Astyanax mexicanus: one gene and its partner. The protein of the gene in region 2 interacts with the protein of the main gene of each other region in a pairwise test. Links are inferred from orthologs where the notes say so. Each region holds a gene or a part of one and is shown on either strand. Other genes may lie near its edges.

Evidence for each region. The genes of interacting proteins can lie anywhere in the genome.
Region 1: the proteins of tex11 (region 2) and snx7 interact in binary tests that used the Homo sapiens proteins (3 or more experiments, as listed by UniProt). The two-hybrid records come from large-scale screens. The link is inferred for Astyanax mexicanus from reciprocal best matches to the Homo sapiens genes TEX11 and SNX7.

What each region holds. Positions count from the first base shown.
Region 1 is NC_064413.1:37,369,648-37,379,875, reverse strand, and holds the start of snx7 (sorting nexin-7), read right to left. Parts: upstream 4,877-10,228; 5' UTR 4,745-4,876; coding exon 4,637-4,744; intron 1,451-4,636; coding exon 1,259-1,450; intron 1,159-1,258; coding exon 1,048-1,158; intron 507-1,047; coding exon 342-506; intron 1-341. UniProt on the Homo sapiens protein: Involved in the regulation of endocytosis and in several stages of intracellular trafficking. Together with SNX4, involved in autophagosome assembly by regulating trafficking and recycling of phospholipid scramblase ATG9A.
Region 2 is NC_064417.1:48,322,338-48,332,928, reverse strand, and holds the start of tex11 (testis-expressed protein 11), read right to left. Parts: upstream 4,337-10,591; 5' UTR 4,167-4,336; coding exon 4,139-4,166; intron 1,822-4,138; coding exon 1,706-1,821; exon of another isoform or gene 1,602-1,705; intron 1,171-1,601; coding exon 1,086-1,170; intron 967-1,085; coding exon 887-966; intron 711-886; coding exon 630-710; intron 409-629; coding exon 289-408; intron 148-288; coding exon 67-147; intron 1-66. Other genes in the region: kdrl (vascular endothelial growth factor receptor kdr-like), read left to right, coding at 9,438-9,501. UniProt on the Homo sapiens protein: Regulator of crossing-over during meiosis. Involved in initiation and/or maintenance of chromosome synapsis and formation of crossovers.

The sequences.
Region 1 (10,228 bases), on a different chromosome or scaffold from region 2:
GATCCTAAGAGAGGAACTGCAAGAGTGCATAGGTGAACATGAATAGGAAAAAGGTGCATATGTTGAAGAAATAATCAGATTAGGATTGACAGGATGTTTATATTGCACTTGTATTGAGTTTCTGAAATGTATAAGTATATAAAATGAAAATATCTGCTATATATCTTGTAACAGAGCTGGTTTATTAAACCCTGACCAGCCCATCTCTAACGTGTAAAATCATATCATCTGTTTTGGTTCTGTCTGAAAACCCACTACTGAGCAGGCATGGCTCCAGGGGTTTGCGACTGTAACTGTGTGTGTTGTGTGTGTGTTCGTGTGTGTGTGTGTTTGTGCTTTACCCAGGCTTGTGCTGTGAGAAATATCTTGAAATCCTCACTGCAGGAGAGAATAGGATGCTCAGCTATTCTGTTGAGAAACTTGTGCAGCGCTCTCTTTCTGGTCTCAATGAAGTCGTTATTGAATCTCTCCACCATTCCCTTCATCACAAACTTCTCTGGCAGTGGCTGAAGCAGCACAAACAAGCCATTGTTCAGCATGACAGCAGAGAACAAAGGACATAACAAGGTTAGATTGAGTCGAAGCCTTGTATTTTTTGTTCAATGTTCAGTGTTACCCTTTTCCGATTAAATCCCTTTTTTTCTGTTTCTAAATACAAATTAATATGAATTTACATACAATAGATTAAGGAATATTTTTGTATTGTTTAGCAGGTGATGATAGTTCATTTGACCTGACTTCTTTTGATTCGATCAAATGAAAATATCATATATATTAATAAACATGAAAAAAGTTACAAATATTTAACCATCTCATGTAAAGTTCCTGTTTTGGAAATATGTTTTTAATATATTGTTTTTTGAAAGTGACAGTATATAAAGCACATAAAAAACAAGTTCTATTTAAATAGAACTTAGCACCTCTTAAATCAGTTAAATCACATTTTAACATATCTAGATAGAAGCCTGAAATGCGAATACATACATACAATGGCTGCATTTGCAAATGAGAGGAAAGATTGCATGCCTTCATCTCTAGATCACTTACATGAACAATAAGCGTGGGATGAGCCTCCTCCAGCTTGCTTTTTAACCAAAAGAAGTCTTGGTAGCGCCTGCGGACTTCATACTCACTGGAGTCAAACTCACTACGGGTGGTCTAATATCAGAGAGAGAAAAACATTTTAAGCATTTAGATGGTAAATGAAGTTGAATCCTTTTTTCAAGCACTAATCTGCAGAGTGTGGTTTGTGATGTACCTTGGTCAAAACCCTGTATGTAATAAAAGTCTCAATGGCAGTCACATGGCTTTCAGGGTTATCGACTGTGACGAAAATGTCTTTAGTGTCAGGCTGCTCTTCCTCCTCCTCAAACTTGTACTGATTGACCATTGAGCCAGGGGAGGTTTGCATGGAGGCATTCAAAGAGCCTCCGTCCGTGAAGGTTGAATCCTACAACAAGACAAGAAAAACAGACAAAATTGGGTTTGAGAGACAAAACTGGGCTCTAAAAAAATCACTCTATAGCTCACATGGACATCAGAACACTGACATTGATTTTACATTGCAGCATTTGTACTCTTCCTGCACTTATTAACTAAGTGACAAGCTATTACTATTTTGGATTTGGTCATAAGCTGTGCATCTCTTTATTGCAGAACACTTCTTAATTAAGCATTTATTGCGCTCTTTGACTGCAAAAGCAGTTTGTGAAGACTCAGTCAAAAAATTAAAATCATTCATGCTGTAGTAGTGCCAGTGTGTTTTGTCTGTGTATCCTGATCAGAGTTTCCCAGCAAAGCCTACTGCCTTATCACCATTCAATCAGAGACTCATGCAAATATTTCTCATTTTATCCAAACTCTCAGATAGATAGGTCAGATCTGTGAGGAAAAGCAGAGGCCTGCATAGTAGGGGTGGGAATCGTTTACTATCTCACGATTCGATTCGATTCCGATTTTGGGGGCCACGATTCGATTCAAAATCGATTTTTGATTCAAAACGATTTGAATTATAAAAATTTCTGCTTCTGGCTTATGAATCTTATTGAAAAAAAACCCTCCATAATATACACTGGTCCTGGAGCAGGTAATGTGTTACAAAAACAATAAAATGTGCAGGAATGTGGGTCCTCAGTGACAGAGGAATCACTGGGATATCACAATGACGTTAATGAACAATAAATAAATAATAAATAACACTGCTTTATTACCAGGCTACTAGCGGTGGTGTGTAGGTGACGCTGCTGGGCTGATGTGATGATAGCAGTGGAGCGCTAAAGTTCAGGAGCAGCTGCTGATTAACTAGTTAATTTAAGGTCGTTGTATTTCTTCAGAAAGGGGGCAGGAGGTGGAGAAATTAATTCATATGGTCCATTCCTTAATTCCTCTGTGATGAGGAGCTGAAATTAGCTCTGATTAGCTTATTGTATTTTTCCGTTCCGCCTTAAATGCTGCAGCCCGCTGCCACCTGTAGCGTTATTTAAGGTGGAACTGGAAAGTTAGCTAGTTAGCTAGCTAACAGTTACTGAAACTAACTACTAGCGATCTTTTTTATGCTTGTTATGAAGCATTCTGCCATAAAACATTGAAACTACACGTTAATCTAATGTAATATAGTGCTTGTTCTGCCATCTTACCGGTGATTCTCAAACACCTACGCTCTGTGTGTGTCTGGAAGATCTCCGTTTGAAAGGACAAGCGCTATCCCCAGGGTTGCCAGGTCCAACAAAAATACCCAGCCCAAAATCAGTCTAAAACCCGCCCCTCAGAATCGATTTTGGGACATTTTAAATCGATTCTGAATCGTAGTAAATGAGAATCAAGATTCTTATGTGAATCGATTTTTTGGCACACCTCTACTGCATAGCCTCACTGCTCCTCCTATCATGGAAGCTTCCTGTCAAAACAAACTCCACTGCTGTCAGCAGATTTCAGGAGGTCCTAAAACAAGGAATTATTAAACAAACTGCTCAGCAATGTCCAAGGTTTTCTGAAGGTTAGGAGAAAACACTCCTCCCCCCAAAAAAAGATAAATAAAATACCAAAAAAATTTAGGTTACCTAACCTTGCATTTTGCATGTTACAATAATAACCTATTTAGCAAATGTTACTCTTAAATATTACTCTAAAATGTAACTCTTCTAAACATTTGCCAGCATTAGGAAAAACATTGTTACAACAATTATATTAATGAAATATTCTAAAAGCATTAAGGTCCCTGACCCTGACAAATGAATGTTAAAGGAGCACTCTAAACATGTTAAACATTACACAAACGTTCTGAAAACAAAATTCAGTTATCTAGGTCAGCTATGTCACTGTAACACTTATCAGATTTATTTTCTGACCTTTCGAGGCTACATTTGAAAATAAAATATTGAGGGTAACATTTATTATTTATTTTTTTATGTTTGACATAACAAAGAAGAAAAATATATATATTTTTTCCATTTTTCAAGTTTCCAAATTCTGCACCCTCACAGTCTGAAATATTGAAAAACATTTTTTTCATTTTTGCACTTTGTAACAAAAATATGATGTTTTAAACCTAGCTACATACATTTGTTCCAAGATAAGTAACGTTAAATGGAAAACAGAACAAAATCATATTACAGAGTTTACTTTTTTTGTGTTGGGCAGAAATGAAAAATGGATGAAAAACAGTTTTTGACTATGCCAAATTGACAAAATCATATAATTAAGTTGTACACACAATATTTTATTTCAATATTTTGCCTCAAATTGATCATTCCTAAGCTATAAAAATGGAACTGACCTAAGCTAGCTAGCTTAGCTAACTAACTTACTAGCTTAGGTTAATCTTTTATTTGATTGGGCTGAAATGCTAATGGCTAATAGCAACAGAAATAACACTCATATCTAGCTGTGACCGGTCTGTAACCCTAGCAACGCTGGGACGTATTTATATATAGTTAGGTAGCAGCTATTTTAATCCGGTTACAGAGACTTAAATCATTACTACACTCCCTCATAGCTAACGTTAACTAGGTTAACTAACGCTGAGTGAGACAGGTTAGGGTAATTGACAGGTTAAGTCAGCATTTCTTGTGTTTCAGACACAGATAAACGGTGTAGAGAATTAGCTAAAGCTGTAAGTTAGTTAGGGTTTGGTATAATAACAATAACCTCAGCTGATTTCTGACCTTTGGACCCCAACACTAAACGTAAACACGGAAAACAACGCGGCGGCGACAAACATTAACAATGATAATAAGGTATTTTCCTTTATTTTTTATTATCTAAACTGTGTATTAGTATTAGATAGCATGTATTTGTTTGTATAGAGAGAGCTCTCATTTGTTATAGTTAGGCTACAGACTGAACTGACTGGATGCTGGGAGTGTCCACTTTTGCACACTCACTCCAACTAACTTAGTTTGAGCTTAGTTTGAAGTTAGATAGAATTAGCTAAGCTAGCTCAAACTCAACCGCTTCAAACACAATTTTACACAATTCAGTTTATCTGCTATAACGTTATATAAGTTACACATACACATGAACACACAGACAGACAGACCACGTAGCGGCAGCCATCATCACACTATTTATCTCTGTGGTCTCAGTGAGGCTAGCTCCTCTCCTGCTCCACAAGCTCTGAGACAGCGAGTTTTTTTACCTTACAGAAAACCTCAAAATCCTCGTCCTCGTCCAGTATTTGTCCTGAGAGTTCATCCGGGACTGCAGCAGTGGGACTGCCGCTGTCGACCACCGTCCCGCTCATCATGGCTCAAATCTCTCCTTTCTCTCAGATCAGCAGATCACTTCACTGATCATGATGCAAACTTTTCCGCCAGAGTGAAACTCTGAAACTCGGGCTGGCAGGCAGGCAGGCAGGCGGGCAGACAGGCAGGGGCAGCAGAGTGCGCAGAATCGGAAATACCATTTCAGGAAAGAAGAGCTGAATCTGCAGTGGAGAGGAAGGCCTGGCTGAGTGAGTAGATAGATAGAGCTATACACACAGAGAGAGAGAAAAAGTTCAGGTGGACAAACTGGAAAAGTAGCCCGGCCTGCTGGGGTAGACCCGGGTTCGCCCTGTGTGTTTCTAATAAAAATAACTAGTTAGTAAACCCACATTCACATAATGCACCGTCCGTAGCCTGTTGTTGATACTTCAGTTGAAAGCTTTCCAAAACATTCTAGAGCTTAAGGAAAATTAAACCCACTAAACAAAAACATGCTCCCTTCACTGTAGAACAACAGTGAGAGGTAACTTAGTAGTACAGAGTACAGTAAATGCAGCACAGCAATCACCAACATTCTACAGCTCTGAAAAAAAGAAAGCACTTAAATATTATGAGTTTCTTTGATTTTACCAAATAAAAAAAATGGATGATCCCAAAAGATGGATGATCACAAGCCATCAAACCAAGCTGAACTGCTTACATTTTTGCACCAGGAGCGTCATAAAGTTACCCAAAATCAGTGTGTAAGACCGGTGGAGGAGAACAAGCCAAGATGCATGAAAATTATGATTAAAAACCATTGTTGTTCCACCAAATATTGATTTCTAAACCATTCTGAACCAAAACTTTATGATTATGAACTTGTTTTCTTTGCATTATTTGAGGTCTAAAAGCTCTGCATCATTTTGATATTTCTGCCATTTCTTATTGTCTGCAAATAAATGCTCTAAATGACAATATTTTTATTTGGAATTTGGGAGAAACTTTGTCCGTAGTTTATAGAATAAACAACAATGTCAGTTTTATTTAAACATATACCAAAAAAGAGCAAAATCAAATAAACTAATTCAGAGACTGAAGTGGTCTCTTATTTTTTTCCAGAGCTGTATGTTTAAACTACATGTCAATGACAAAAGTGATAATACAAAAATTACTATAGAGTAAAAGTACCCGAATAAAAACATGTAAAAGTAGTATTTTTGTATAAACATGAAAAAAAGGTGCAGAAAAACTGATCTTAAATGAAAACCTACGCAGAATGAAACATATGTAAAATGTTTAAAATATATTAAGTACATTTGAAAAAAATGGCCTAAAATGTATTTGCTTTCCTGGGGAGAGCCAGAAAGATTCATCACATTTTGTTGGTCTTTACGACTGCACTCGAGGATACTTCCAAAGTTCTTGACTTTTATTTCTTAAAGTAGTTTTTTTCTTTACTTTGTAGAGTAGTTCTTGCTATAATATGGATTAAAACGTTATTCAACAGTATTCACTGTTAACCAGCTCTACCTCTTCACAACTTTACAACTGATGCTCAAACACATTAAGAGGCAAGAAATTCAAGTAATTAACTCTTGACAAGGCACAGCTGTTAATTGAAAGCCACAACAGGTGACTCAGCCTCATAAAGCTGACTGAGAAAATTCCAAGATCTGCAAAGCTGTTATCTCAGCAATGGGTGTCTACTTTGAAGTATCTACATTATTAGAATATAACCAGAATATAACCATATTCTGTTTTGTTTAGCACTTTTTAATTACTAAATTACTCCATATGTTTTTCTGCATGACCTGCAGAACTTTTGAAAATAATGGGAAACACTAAATTTTGACTGGTACTGTACATATTAGTAACTTGTCAAAACTGGTTTAATGTGTAAAATCAAGAGCTCTACTTACAACAACAGCACAAATTATATCACCAAAATATACGTGAAGGTAAAACCTAAATGTCTTAGAAAGAAAACTTTATCAGAGTTTAAGTATTTAAATGTAGAATGCTCATTTATAAACAGGTGGAAAAGTACAGAGAGCCTAATGGAAATTGAGCTGCATATAAAAAATCATACTCCGTTAAAAGTGGAAGTATGGAGCCAAACAGCATCTATATTTCAAAATCATGAAAACGTAACTAATTTAAAATGTAACATAATGAGTCACAATATGCTTTCCTGTGCTGTGGAGGTGTGTGTTGCGAAGGCTAATGGACTTCTGGAAGTTATGGGCAGTTTCATTTACATTGACATAAAGTTGATTGTATTTTTAATTGAAATGAAAAAGGTTTAGAGAAGTAAGAAACTTTCATGACCTTTAGGAATGTAAATGAGGTCTAAATGAATGTATCCCTTTTGGAAATATAATTGAGTTAGAGTTCAAGTAATTTGAATGAGGTCTGCGCAATATATTGTTTTAGCATCACCATTACAACGTGTATATTTTCAGTAGTCACATTGCTAGATGTATAATGTTACATGAGGTTTTGTTAGCCTATATGTCAAAAGTTTTTTGCTGTTTGATGCAAAAGGGAAATTCTCAATGTTCTCTTATTTTCCATGATATATTATACTATATCTGTTCAGTGTTGTATATTTTACTCCATTGTTTTAAAAAAATGGATTGAATCTTTAATATTATCACGTGTTGGATTGCTGACTTCTGGTGAAAAATACAATGTGTATAGAGGGCTGGGCAAGTAATTAAAAATCAATCACAATTTACATTCACAAACTGTAATTGACGCAGTCTTTCCCTTATCGTTAATTTTTATTTTCCTTTAATTCTGTAATATTTTTCACATTGTGTGTGGGCATGTACTGTCTTGTCAAACATAAAGCCATATTTGTATTTACATAACTACTCCCTATCCAGTGTATAACAAGGAAGCAATGTGGAGGAGAACTCAAACCCTGATTCAACTGAGCAGCTTAAGCAGCTTGTACCAAAATAAATTGCTGTACACTTGTACATTAAAGTACATTAACTATTTTTTCATTAATCATGATTAATATCAAATGTGAAAATAATTGTCATACTTTTTCCAATATTATGCAGCCTTTATTTTATTAGCTTCAAAGAAGTGCAACTCTTTTAAAGACAGAAACAAAGAACAATTAACTATGTAGAGTACAGATCCACTAAATGTTGAATTTATAATATTGAGTTGATTTGTCTTTATAATAAAGTCTGCTTTGATGGAAACTGCCTTATATCCTGTAAACAATTTTATTTACTAGTGCATCTAAAAAAATAGAATATCAATGAAAAGTTGCTTTATTTCAGGAATTCAGTTCAAAATGCAAAACTCATATTATATGGATGTATTAATACAGAGTGATCTATTTTAAGCATTTGTTTATTTTATCGTTGATCCTTATGGCTTACAGCCATTGAAACCCCAAAAATGAGGGTCTCAGAAAATTTGAATATTATATATTATAAGACCAATTGGTACTTTTGGCAGTGTGGGCAGTGTGTCAAGTCCTGCTGGAAAATGAAATCTGCGTTTCCATAAATGTTGTGAGCAGAGGGAAGCATGAAGTGCTGTAAGATTTTCCAGGAAAACACTGCACTGACTTTGGACTTGATATAACACCGTGGACCAACACCAGCAGCATTTCATTTGAAAATCAAGAGACCAGAGTCTGGAGGAAGAGTGGAGAGACACACAATCCAAACTGCTTAGGGTCTAGTGTGAAGTTTCCTCAATCAGTGATGGTTCAAATTTTGGGGTTTCTTTGGCTGTAAGACATAATCACCAACAATAAAAGACATGAATGATTAGATAGATCATTCTGTGTGTAATACATCTGTATACTATACACGTTTCACATTTTGAACTGAATTACTGAAATAAAGCAACTTTTCACTGATATTCTACTTTTTTTTTTTTTTTGCCGCACTAGTATATTACTTTTAACCTCATATTTACATGAGGTCTGTTACCTGTTTTGGTCATGCAGTTGATCTGCATCACCAAAAGATGTCACTGTAGCACAGCCAACTGCACAGCAGAGCCATCTGGCATGAAAAGTTTTCATGTGGCAGGTCTGTGTGTCTGTCTGGTTTTGTCTAGTGGTCTGTGCATGTCTGTGTTTTTGTATAAGTTTCTCGATGTAGCTTCATAATGAAACTCATGGCATTAGATACAGAAAACAATGTATTAAGAGTGAGAGAAGTGGTGCTTGGTTCTGCTTAAAGTTTGATCAAAGCTGGGAATGATACCTGTTCAGATTTATGTGAAGGCATGTATAGACTATGTACAATCATCAGTCAATGAATTCAGTAATCTGTTCAATTAGTTGTAATTGATGATGCTGTAATGAGTTAGAGCAAATCCAGGTTTCTATATGAATGAAGAAGACCTAAATTAAGATGTTATCTGGGAAGTTCTGAAGTAGCGACTGTAGTGTTTAATAGATCTATCTCATTGGTCTTTATCACAGTGACTTGAATGAATGTAGAGGGAAGGCAATCAGAGGTACTCTAATTAGAAAGTGTGGTGTAATATCTTGCTGGTACACACTGTTGATACCTGCAGAAGCTCCAACAAATAAGAAGTCCTTGGAATGATGCCACAACCATACAGATTGTGTAACCTTTTGCACAAAGCGTGAGTAGCATATCCTTCAACAATTCAGATTAGGCAGTATTAGAATAATTCTACAAAGGTCAGTCCTTTACTGTGCTCAACCCAGACTGGTAGAGCACCGAATGCAGAAAAGGTCACAGGCGCCACAATCGTATTGTCTTGCTGCCGTTTGATATCGTTTGTCTGTGAGATTGATATAAACCTGATGTTAGGATCACTTTTTCCCTGTATTTTTCTCCTTTTCCTCTCTTTTTTGTTTTATGTCGACCATCTGAGTGCAGCACTTCAGATATGTGTTCTTGATGATGGTTTTAAAGTGAGAGCTCAATGTGCTGGGCTTTGATGGAGTGCCAGCATTAGTGAGAGCCGTTCAATACAGGGCATTAATTGCTCCTTAATTGTACAAAATGTGAGTGATAAATGGCACCTCAGAAAAGGCAAAGTCTGCTTTTAAAAAGAGGTCTGGAACAGCTTACTCTCTGATAGTCTCTAAACCTGATTGGGATCTTGTTACTTGTTCTTCATGCATCTTAGAAGTCGAGATGTCACTTCCAGCACCTTTGAATGATGGGACACATGGTTCTAAACCCAAAGCAATTGCTCAAAACCCAAACATCTGTCAGTAAAAGTCTAAGCCCATAGTTATATTACCCTGCTTAACAAATTAAACAGCTTTTCTCTTTATCAAGCAGGTTTGGAGTTAGTGTTTTTCACATGATTTTCATGTTACATGTCAGAGATGTGATGCATAAAATAATGCAAAAAAACAAAAAAATTAACATTGAGGTTGAACAAGGATTTGTAGCCAGCATTGTATTTTACATCTCCACTTCTGACTCCTCTAATTCATGATGTTGGTTTGCAGTTGGGGTATAGAGGGACTAGTGGCAATGGGGCAGAAGCAAAGTCATGGCCCTAACCTCCAGAGATTCAAA
Region 2 (10,591 bases):
CGTACAAATAAAAACGCAAAGACAAAACGCAAACAAGAAATAATAACATGAAAATAAATCGTATACCTCCTTAGGAAGCCTAAGAAGCATCTCTTTACACCGCTGCATGCAGGACACTGCCTCCTGGTGATTCTCTTGAGCAACTGCCTAAAAGTCAGTCACGCCAAGTGCATTTATGTAAAATATATTCTAAATGTATTATAATATTATTTTAAATTGTTTGCTAGGATTATTACAACTCCAGTCATTCTCTACTACTAAATGCATTACATATAAGCACCATCTTACAGATTCTGCTTGATAAGAGAGAACACGCAGAAGATCTTTCTCTACATCTCCTTTCGGTGTGTTGGTATCAGAAACACCAGCTCCATGGGATGTTAGTCTGCAGTAAAGAGTCTCCAGACTCTGTGAAATCATACAAAACATTTATTATTACTGTACTGGAGGTTATATTTAGGTCAACAACAAACTCAAATCAAAATACAATCAAACCAGATTGTTCTATTAATTTAATTGCACTGTTTCACAAGAAAAAATAATTTGTGCAATGTCATTGTCTGACAATATTCTATATATCTATATCTTTATATCTATATCTATATAGTTGACATGAAGTTCACACTTACACTGACTGCAAGTTTTAAAAAGTCATCGGCAAGCTTAGGGTTTTTACAATCAAGCCATGTTCTCCCTGTCTTACTGGCCATCTGCGACACATAAAAATACAACACACACACACACACACCATAAAGAACTAGCTGAAGTGCAGTGGAAATGTTGCATTAAAAAATTAGACTAAACTAAAAGGAAATATAATTAGTGTTTTCAGAAAAAGTTCTGAATTTCAAAAATAATATTAAATGAAGTGAGAACACAGACAAACCATAATCTGTTTGCGAATAACATTCTCAGGTGGTTCCTCGGTTTCACACACATACAGGAGTTTGCAGGCCACAAGACGCACTGAATCACACAAAATATATCATAACATGTAAGGTAAAATGTCATTAAAGCATCTGTAAACTTACAGAAATAAAGACTGCCTGTAAGAAAATAACATGACATTTTTATAAAACAAAAACCTTTGGCTTTTTGTTGCTCACTAATAACAGAACCAATATTTTTGGTCACAGCCCAGTTCCACAACTGAATAGCACATTCTTCAACCTGCAAATAAAAAACATGTTTATTATTTTTGTTTTGAGCTACTTTCTAAAAATGAGAAACAAGATAATCATGTCCCATTGGGGTCTGTGTAAGGTTTATCAATTTATCAATTTTCAGATTTTTTTATACATGTTTTTCCAATTATCTAGTTTTTCATTCACAGTCAGCATTTCAGCTGAAAAAAACGTTATTGTTCTTCTAATTGTTTTTTTTTTGCCCTATTTTGGTACATAAGTAGGTTGGATTACAGCATCAGACTGGGGGGGGGGATACCAGTAAAACCCCATCTCTATAAGTTAATGTCAGAGAAGATAACAATGTACTTTTTATTAAAAATGCCTTTCTGTTCTTACATATTGTGGTAAACTGTGCCATATCCAGTAATTTGGTAACCTTTATCTCTTTATATTTCACAAGACATCATAACTTACTTCAAATTATTGTCGATATAAAGTCCACTTTTAAAATTCCGTGGATTTTCAGCTTTAGACTTATGATCTAGCTAAATAAAATTTGTTCTCAAATAGACCGGCACCTCTGTATCTTGAATTTTAGTGGGTTTCTCAAGCGACTGAACTTTTTCAAACAGCGTCTCAATCAAGTCGTTCACACTGTCATCACTCTGTCTGTTAAGAAGACTCTCTGCCAGACCTAAGAGAGAAAAACAGATTATATTGTTGGTAGTTAGGTAGTTCATACAGCACGACATGTTTGGCTGTTTATTTTGGTTGAATTGAGTTGTCTACATTACCAATGTAACTATAATTGGTTTCTCTAGTCATAGCTTATATATTGTGGTAGGTTTACTAATGATTACTACATAACTAAGTAACTAACTTTATGTACCTTAATGTAGCTAGCTACATTTGAAGGCAAACACTTTTTTCCAGCCTTTTTCTTTTACTGGAATAATATTTAAGCGTGGGTTAACTCTACATTAATTTAAGTAGTTCGCTATCTAGTAATTGCTCCACCACTAGTACAAAGTAGCTAAGTCAAGATAACTAGTTAGCTGACTAACAAATCCTTCAGCACAAGTTAGATGGTAAGCTAGCTAGTAATTCCTTCACCACTAGTTAAAACAAGTCAGTTAGCTTTTTTCCAAGTTAGAGGCCTCAAGGGATGCTTTTTAATTTTACTGTAATAATTTTCTTTATCGTTTAGCGTGGGTATCTGTACTTTAACTTAAGTAGTTTTCTAGTTAGTGATTCCTCCAACACTAGTTAAAAGTAGATTAGTTAAGGTAACTAGTAAGATAGCTAACTAGTAAGTTAGCTAATTCCTCCACCACAAATTAGTTGGCAAGCTTGCACTTCCTCCACCACTAGTTAAAATTGTCAATTAGCAAACTAGCTAGCAATTCTTCCACCACTATTTAAAACAAAGTTGGTTAGCTACGTATTTCTCCACTGCTATACAAAACTAAACTAGTACTTTAAAACTAAAAAGTGAACTAGTTAACCTAGCTAGTAATTTTTTTTACCAATAGTTAAAACAGTCAGTTAATGCTAGCTAGATAAAAGTCGTATTTCCTCCACCAACAGTTAAATTTAATCAGTTGGATAGAAATTCCTCGACCACTAGTTAAAACAAAGTTACTAAGCTAGGAATTTCCCCACCACTAGTTAAAACTAAGTTAGTTAACCTAGCTATTAATTTATCCACCACTAATTAAAATTGTCAGTTAATGCTTGCCAGTAATTCATCCACCAATAGTTAGTTAAATTTAATTTTACTTAAAATTGTCAGTTAGGGCTAGCTAGCTAAAGCTAGTAAGTTATTTCCTCCGCCAATAGTTAAATTTAAGTCAGATAGCTAGTAGTTAATTCCTCAACCACTAGTTACAACAAAGTTAGTTAGCTAAGAATTTCCAGACCACTAGTTAAAATTAAGTTAGTTAACCCAGTTAGTAATTCCTCCACCGCTAGTTATAATTGTCAGTGAATGTTAGCTAGCTAGAAATTCATCTACCACTAATTAAAACTAAAGTTAAGTTAGATATCCAGGAATTTCTTCACCACTAGTTAAAATTATTATCAACCAATAGATAACTTAGTGTAATTTAGGTCAGTTACTAGTTAGCTAAGCTAGGCTAGCTAGTAATTTCTGGACCAATAGGTTAGTTAACTACCTAGCTAGATAGTATTTCCACCACCAATAGTTAAATTTAATTCAGATAGCTAGTAGTTAATTCCTCAACCACTATTTAAAACAAAGTTAGTTAGCTAGGAATTTTCCCACCACTAGTTAAAACCAAGTTAGTTAACCTAGCTATTAATTTATCCACCACTAATTAGAATTGTCAGTTAATGCTTGCCAGTAATTGATCCACCAATTTTCAGTTAATGCTAGCTATCTATTAAACCTAGTAAGTTATTTCCTCCACCTATAGTTAAATTTAAGTCAGATAGCTAGTAGTTAATTCCACTAGTTAAAATTAAGTTAGTTAACCCAGTTAGTAATTCCACCACTAGTTACAATTGTCAGTGAATGTTAGCTAGCTAGTAATTTATCTACCACTAATTAAAACTGAGGTTAAGTTAGATATCCAGGAATTTCTTCACCACTAGTTAAAATTATTATCAACCAATAGATAACTTAGTGTAATTTAGGTCAGTTACTAGCTAGCTAAGCTAGGCTAGCTAGTAATTTCTGGACCAATAGGGTTAGTTTACTACGTTACCTAGCTAGATAGTATTTCCACCACCAATAGTTAAGTCAGATAGCTAGCTAGCTAAGTTAGTTATTCTTTGCTAGTTAAAACTAAGTTAGTCAGCTAAAGAAATAAAACACAAGAACTACATAGTTAGTAAGTTAGCTCTAAATTTCTCCACCACTAGTTAAAATTAAGCCAGTTAGGTTAACTAGAATTAGCTAGCTAGCTAGCGGCTAACAAGCTAACGCTAACTCACAATAATTACCTCAGATAAGCAAACGGGGATTTTAGTCTTTTGAAGACAATTCTTACCTTTCACATTAATAAGAACGTCCTCCATCTCAGTTTTACAATGTTTATACCTTTATAACATGTATTTGAACCCAGGCAACCTCGTATCTATACTGTTTTTAGGACAAAACCTCGTTAAAATCCCGTCTTCTCTCACAAAAACTCACACAACTAATCAGCTAACGTGTTGCGCGAGCCTAAAGGGACAGTGAAGACATAAAGCCTGTAACGTTAGAATTATAAAGACAGGGTTTTTTTTACAAACATAAATTGTAATAAATATGATAAAAAGTAAATAATAATAATAATAATAAAAAAGTAAAGATAAATAAATAAAACAAATAAATCAAAATAGAATTGAGTTAAACAATACAGGGGAATTTCCAATTACTTTGAAAATAATGTTGGTAAAGTTTTTTTTCTCCAGAAATTTAAAATTAGCAACATCAGAGCTAATTTACAACACACACATTATACATTATTATTGACTATTTGTAACACAAAGCTTTCACTATTATTAAATCAGACAAAATTAGACAGTTTTTTATGGATTTTCTGATTACATGAGGAAGACCAGGATATAAAATTATTTGATACAAAGATGGAATATATGGGTCTACCTGTTTGTTCCTTATTTTCATGCATATAGTGCATTGCTAAGAAAATAATTAAATTGCTTGAAAATATATTCCTTTTTTTAATTCCTCATAATTTTTAAAACATATATTTTAAAAAAATGTTTACATTTATTATGTGTAAAATTCTGAATAAATCTAAAGACATTTGCCATAGTCTTTACATGTGCTTATAAAGGCAAAAATATATTTAGTAAATGGCGGTAAATCACAAAATGACACCAATACATTTGGTAAATATGCTTATAAGAAATACCTTTGACATTATTTAGTAGTAATATTTCCAACAAATATTCTTCCCCTGTAAGACAGCAAGCTTATTTACTGGAGGTGCAGTCCTGCTATATGACCACTAGATGGTGTCTTACACAAGACATATGAATCACTTAATAAAAGATTCATAGACAGAAAGAGCAAATTACTATTATAATTATTATAATTTTGCTGTATTGTAAAGTTTTGCTGTATTGCAAATATTATTTGTTAATAAGAAAAAAATCAAACATAATCCTTTATTAGTTCTTTATTAGACATACAAAGGAAAAAGTGATTACAAACTAAGAATTAAGATATAAACCTTAGTAGGTACGTTTCCTAAACATGATACTTTGATTTAAATGGAAAATCTGCATTTAAAATGCTGTTTAGTTCAAGACATAGCTTAATTGCTGTCTGGGATTCCCCTGTAAATAAATAAAAAAATAAACATTGATGAAGAATTTTACAAAAACTGCATATGACAAAACAAACAACGGGTGTTTAAAACAAGAAAAACAGTAATTCACCAGTTTTGCACGATTCTTTCTAAATAAAGGCATATTGACCAATCATGGTCTATTCTAAGCCACATTTAACATAAAGGTTTTTGTTGCTACAGCAGACATCTTTGTTTTAACAGGGAGCGAGGTTTATTGTTGACCTGAAGGAAAGAGCTCAAGCTGCGCACACAGAACTACTCGGACCCTCTTATTGTTTTCCGCACACTAGATTAAAAAAGAAACGTCTTAAAAGCCCAGGCCTTTCAGCCCTTGGTTTCCAGTAATTGTTCCCACTCGAGTCTTATCTAGCTGCCCTCCTGGCCCACGGAGAATGTGCACCCTTCTGAAGACTTGCCTGTAAAAGAAAAAAGAAAGAAAGAAATGTATATGAGTTGTGATGTGAAATAAAGTCCTCGGGTTTACTTTAGAATGGAATAAAGTAACAAATAGGACAAAAGAGCTATTTTAAAAACCTATTTCATCATTTTATGCATCATTTACTTCATAAAACAAGACAGGTTGGGACAGTATGAATAATAAAAAAAGTGCTGAGTTTCTTACATTTAGGTTTTTTGTCATTTGTTTTATTGGAGACAGAAAGCTAAATATTTTGTTTAATTTGTTAATTTACAACTTTTGTACATCAATTCATGCATTGCAGGCCTGCAACACATTCCAAAAAAAGTTGGGATGAAAAATCAACACTCAAAAGATTCTCTATTCTCTATTCTCTATTTAGGACAGGTCCGGTCTGCAGGCAGGCCAGAACAGTACCCATACCTTCTTGTTCTGAAGCCATACTTTTGCAGTGTGTGCAACATATGGTTTTGCATGGTCTTGTTGAAGAAGAAATACATAGAGGTCTTCTCTGGAGAAGATGTCATCATAAGGCAGCATATGTTGCTCAAAGATCTCCATTAACTACATTTCTACATTAATGCTGCATTGCAGAGGTGTACTGATCAAAACCCAAACCATGACAGACCCTGGCTTCTGGCCTTGTTTCTGATAAAAGTCTGGATGGTCCTTGGATTGCATCCATTTCTTCACACAAAAAAATAGAGGTACGATATAAGTCTTTTCTTTTGCTCAAAGTGCACTTTTTATCATTTCATAATTGTGTCCTATTAAGGTATAATATTGGTCTTTACAGGGTCAGATGTTCCCTCTGAAGCATAAAGTCTTTCCTAACAGCAGGAAGTACAGATTTGTACCATTTAACCAGCTAAAAGGTACATTTGGTATTCTGTATCACTGTACTAATAAATAATATATATTTTAATTACACATTTTTCATTTTTAAAGCCAGACAATTTTGGACAATCAATTCTCGACACATATTCAGTTGATGATAATGTTTATAATCTTTATAATCTTTACTGGTACCAAAAACATGGGTCCAAAAAAGACTATTACTAAAAGGTATTCTGTTGTACCTTAATATAAGGTACAGCCCCAGCGACAAGCTTTGTACTTTTTTGAGTGTTCCAAAAAAGATCTGGAGGTTTCCACTGTGAGATGATCAATCCCAGAAGCCTCATAGCCCAGAGAAGTTAACACATTTGTTAATATAAGGCTTTGATTTGAACTGTAATGTTTTAAGAGAGGAGACACACCCAGTGTAAGTCAGTGAATCAGAACTCTTATGCCTGACAATCTTATGAACAACCCCTCCACTAAAGTATATCCATGGATATGTCCCTATTTGTGATAAGGTGAACTTGCTGGACGTTTCAAAATCATGGGAGGTTCCCAAATGTTTTTAGGCCTAGATATAGCATAGCTGTGTGTCCTGTTTTCCAAAGTTAAAAATAAAGCAGCAAATATTTGTCCTGTGGATATTTACCTCGATAGCACGAGTAAGACAATGCCTGTTTACCTTTGTACCCAGATATTTTAGGGAGGTGCAGCTATGTTTATCTGTTTATCTCGAGAAGGACATTTGGGGAAAACAGTCATGTGTAAAGTCACTTGTTTTAACACTATATCAGATCAACTGGCAGTGTTTTTAGTCTTTAGTATGTTCTTTGGACCTGAAATAAACAATGAACATCAGTAGTCAGTCATAGAATATGTTAGTTTTTTTCTCTCTGACCAAGCTAGACAGTTAAAGATAAGTAATAATAGAAGTAATATAAATAGAAATATATTAATTTTAGATTTATTTGAAATATATAATAGAAAAAAAAAACTGAAATTCCACGTAAATCAGTTGTAAATCCAATATTATTGATAGATAAAAGTAAAATTACAGAGATCTGGATTTTGAATTTAGATATGAATAATATTATTGCTACTAAATTTAAAACAAAACAATTTTAGATATCTAAAGTATATTATAGAGATCTAAAATTCCACATATCCTAAAGACACATGATCATAACTGCAGTATATTAAAGATATATTGACCTAGTCAGGATTCAGATAGATCAGATAGATCTGGACCTGGACTGAAACCTGGACCTGAGAATTACAGTGGAGATAAATGGTAATGATATAAATGGTAAAATATGACTAGAAAAACTAACATTATGGCTATATCATCCCAAAAATATGTCTAGTCAGAATGTCAGAATGGATTTATAGATACAGTACCATTCAAAATTTTGCACACTCTTTCTCACTAAATGTTTTCTTTTATTTCTTAAACAATTACTGTGTGTATACAGCTCTGGAAAAAATAAGAGACCTCTTCAATTTATGAATCAGTTTCTCTAATTTTGCTATTTATAGGTATAAGTTTGAGTAAAATGAACATTGTTGTTTTATTCTAGAAACTACAGACAACATTTCTCCCAAATTCCAAATGAAAATATTGTCATTTAGAGCATTTATTTGCAGAAAATGAGAAATGGCTGAAATAACAAAAAAGATGCAGAGCTTTCAGATCTCGAATAATGCAAAGAAAACAAGTTCATATTCATAAAGTTTTAAGAGTTCAGAAATCAATAAATATTTGGGGGAATAACCCTGTTTTTTAAACAGTTTTTATGCATCTTGGCATGTTCTCCTCCACCAGTCTTACACACTGCTTTTGGATAACTTTATGCCTTTACTCCTTGTGCAAAAATTCAAGCAGTTCAGCTTGGTTTGATGGCTTGTGATCATCCATCTTTCTCTTGATTATATTACAGAGGTTTTTAATTTGGTAAAATCAAAGAAACTCATCACTTTTTAACTGGTCTCTTATTTTCTCCAGAGCAGTATGTGATATTATTGATAGTAAATGATAAAAAACGCTTTACAGATGTTTTGAATGTGAAATTTACCAGTATAAACTCGTATTACTGGTTTGATTTGAGACTTAAAACGGATTGCTATGATAACACTGAGTGTGTGAGAGTGCCACAGGCTCCCAGTCAGGGCTCAGTGACGTTGCCTCTTCCTTTCAGTATAAAACCCTGGAGCAGGATGGGAGCAGGAGGAGAGCTGCTGCTGCTGCGCTTAGTTAATAGCCTGCTGCCGTCTGTGCAGCTCATTCCCCTGCTTGGAGTCGCAGTGGAGGATATGTGAGACGAACCCTGAGAATCCTGGACTGTTTTTTTGCTTGTTTTTCCTACTTTTCTTATTTTTTGTAATATTCTGATTCGCCAGGAGGAGAATAAAACCACATAGCACCTGCCCAGAGGCGCAGACTGGCTCCTACCCCTTACCTGAAGGAGCGTAAGAGCTGAAAAAGTGTCTGGACACCATGGAATACAAACCTTAACCTTGAAAACAGGCTGTAAGCTACCAACAAGAAGTTCTGTGGCTGCAGGAGCAGCTTATAGCTGCGGTTCATCCATCCACTGTTGGAGGTTATCTCTTCTTCTTGCTGCTGCTGATAGATATAGATAGGCTAGAGGGACCTGGGCTACTGGGTTACTTTGGCTTCTGACTGATTGACTGACTTTTCGTTGGAGTAACATTAGGCTACGGAGGGACGGAATGATTCCCAGAAGATCGGCAGCCTTCATAGCCCTGCTTTTCCAGTGCTTTACCTCCACAAACGGTGAGTCCACTTCTCTGGTTTTCTCTTCTCTCTGCCTGGTTGCTCTGCTGATTGATGCTGGTTCAGCTTCACTCTGAAAACATCTGAATCTGAGACTGATGTCACAAATTTGTATTTAAAGTCATTAAATATTAATTTGTGAAGAGTATTTTAGCTAAATATATATTTTTGTTTCATTTTTGGGCGCTTGTGTGGCTTTAATTCTGGTTGGATGCTCTCTCTCTCTGGAGTTGGCTCAGTCTCTTATTATTAAGGCTGGACAATTTGACAAAAAAAAAAAAAAAAAACATATCCCCATATGCAATAGTGGAAATTGGAGATATATGATAGGCTACAAAATATGATATAATTAAAAATATATTAAAAAAAGATCTTGTTAAAGTATTATTAATATTACTTTAATATATGTTGAAAAATTCAGCTTGCTGGTTTCAGATAGTTTAAGCTGATTCAAAAAGCTGGTCACCCAGGCTATATACTGGTAAATAGGGCTGCAGCAATCAGTTAATCATAATCGTAATTGACAATGTCAATTATTTTTAACAGCACCACACTTAACAAAGAACTGGGCACAGAAACACAATGGGAGGGGGCTATATTAATGAGTTAACTCACACAGTTTACCCTCAAGTTGGCCTGTGTCTCCATAAGTTCACGAACGCAACAGATTATACAGTACCAGTCAAAAAAATTGACACACCTTAAATTCAGTGTATTTTCATTATTTGAAATGTTTTGCATTGACCAGTAATGCCATCCAAACTATGAAGAAATACATGTGGAAATAATTAGTAAACCAAAGAGAAAATGTTTTATGTTTTAGATTTTTCAAAGTAGAAGTTGTGTTGTGAAGAGCTAGACTTGGTACACAGTGAATAGCCTTATTTGCGTAGTGTTCTAATCCACATTATGTTAAGAAATACTCAACTAAGTAAAGACAAAAGGTGAAGTAAAGAAATGAAGTAAGTCATTAATGAAATAAGAAAAAAAAATCAAGAACTTTCAAAGTATCCTCAAATGAAGTCACTGCAAAGACCATCAAAAACGGTATGATTGAACTGGCACTCATCAGTACTGCCCCAGGAAAGGA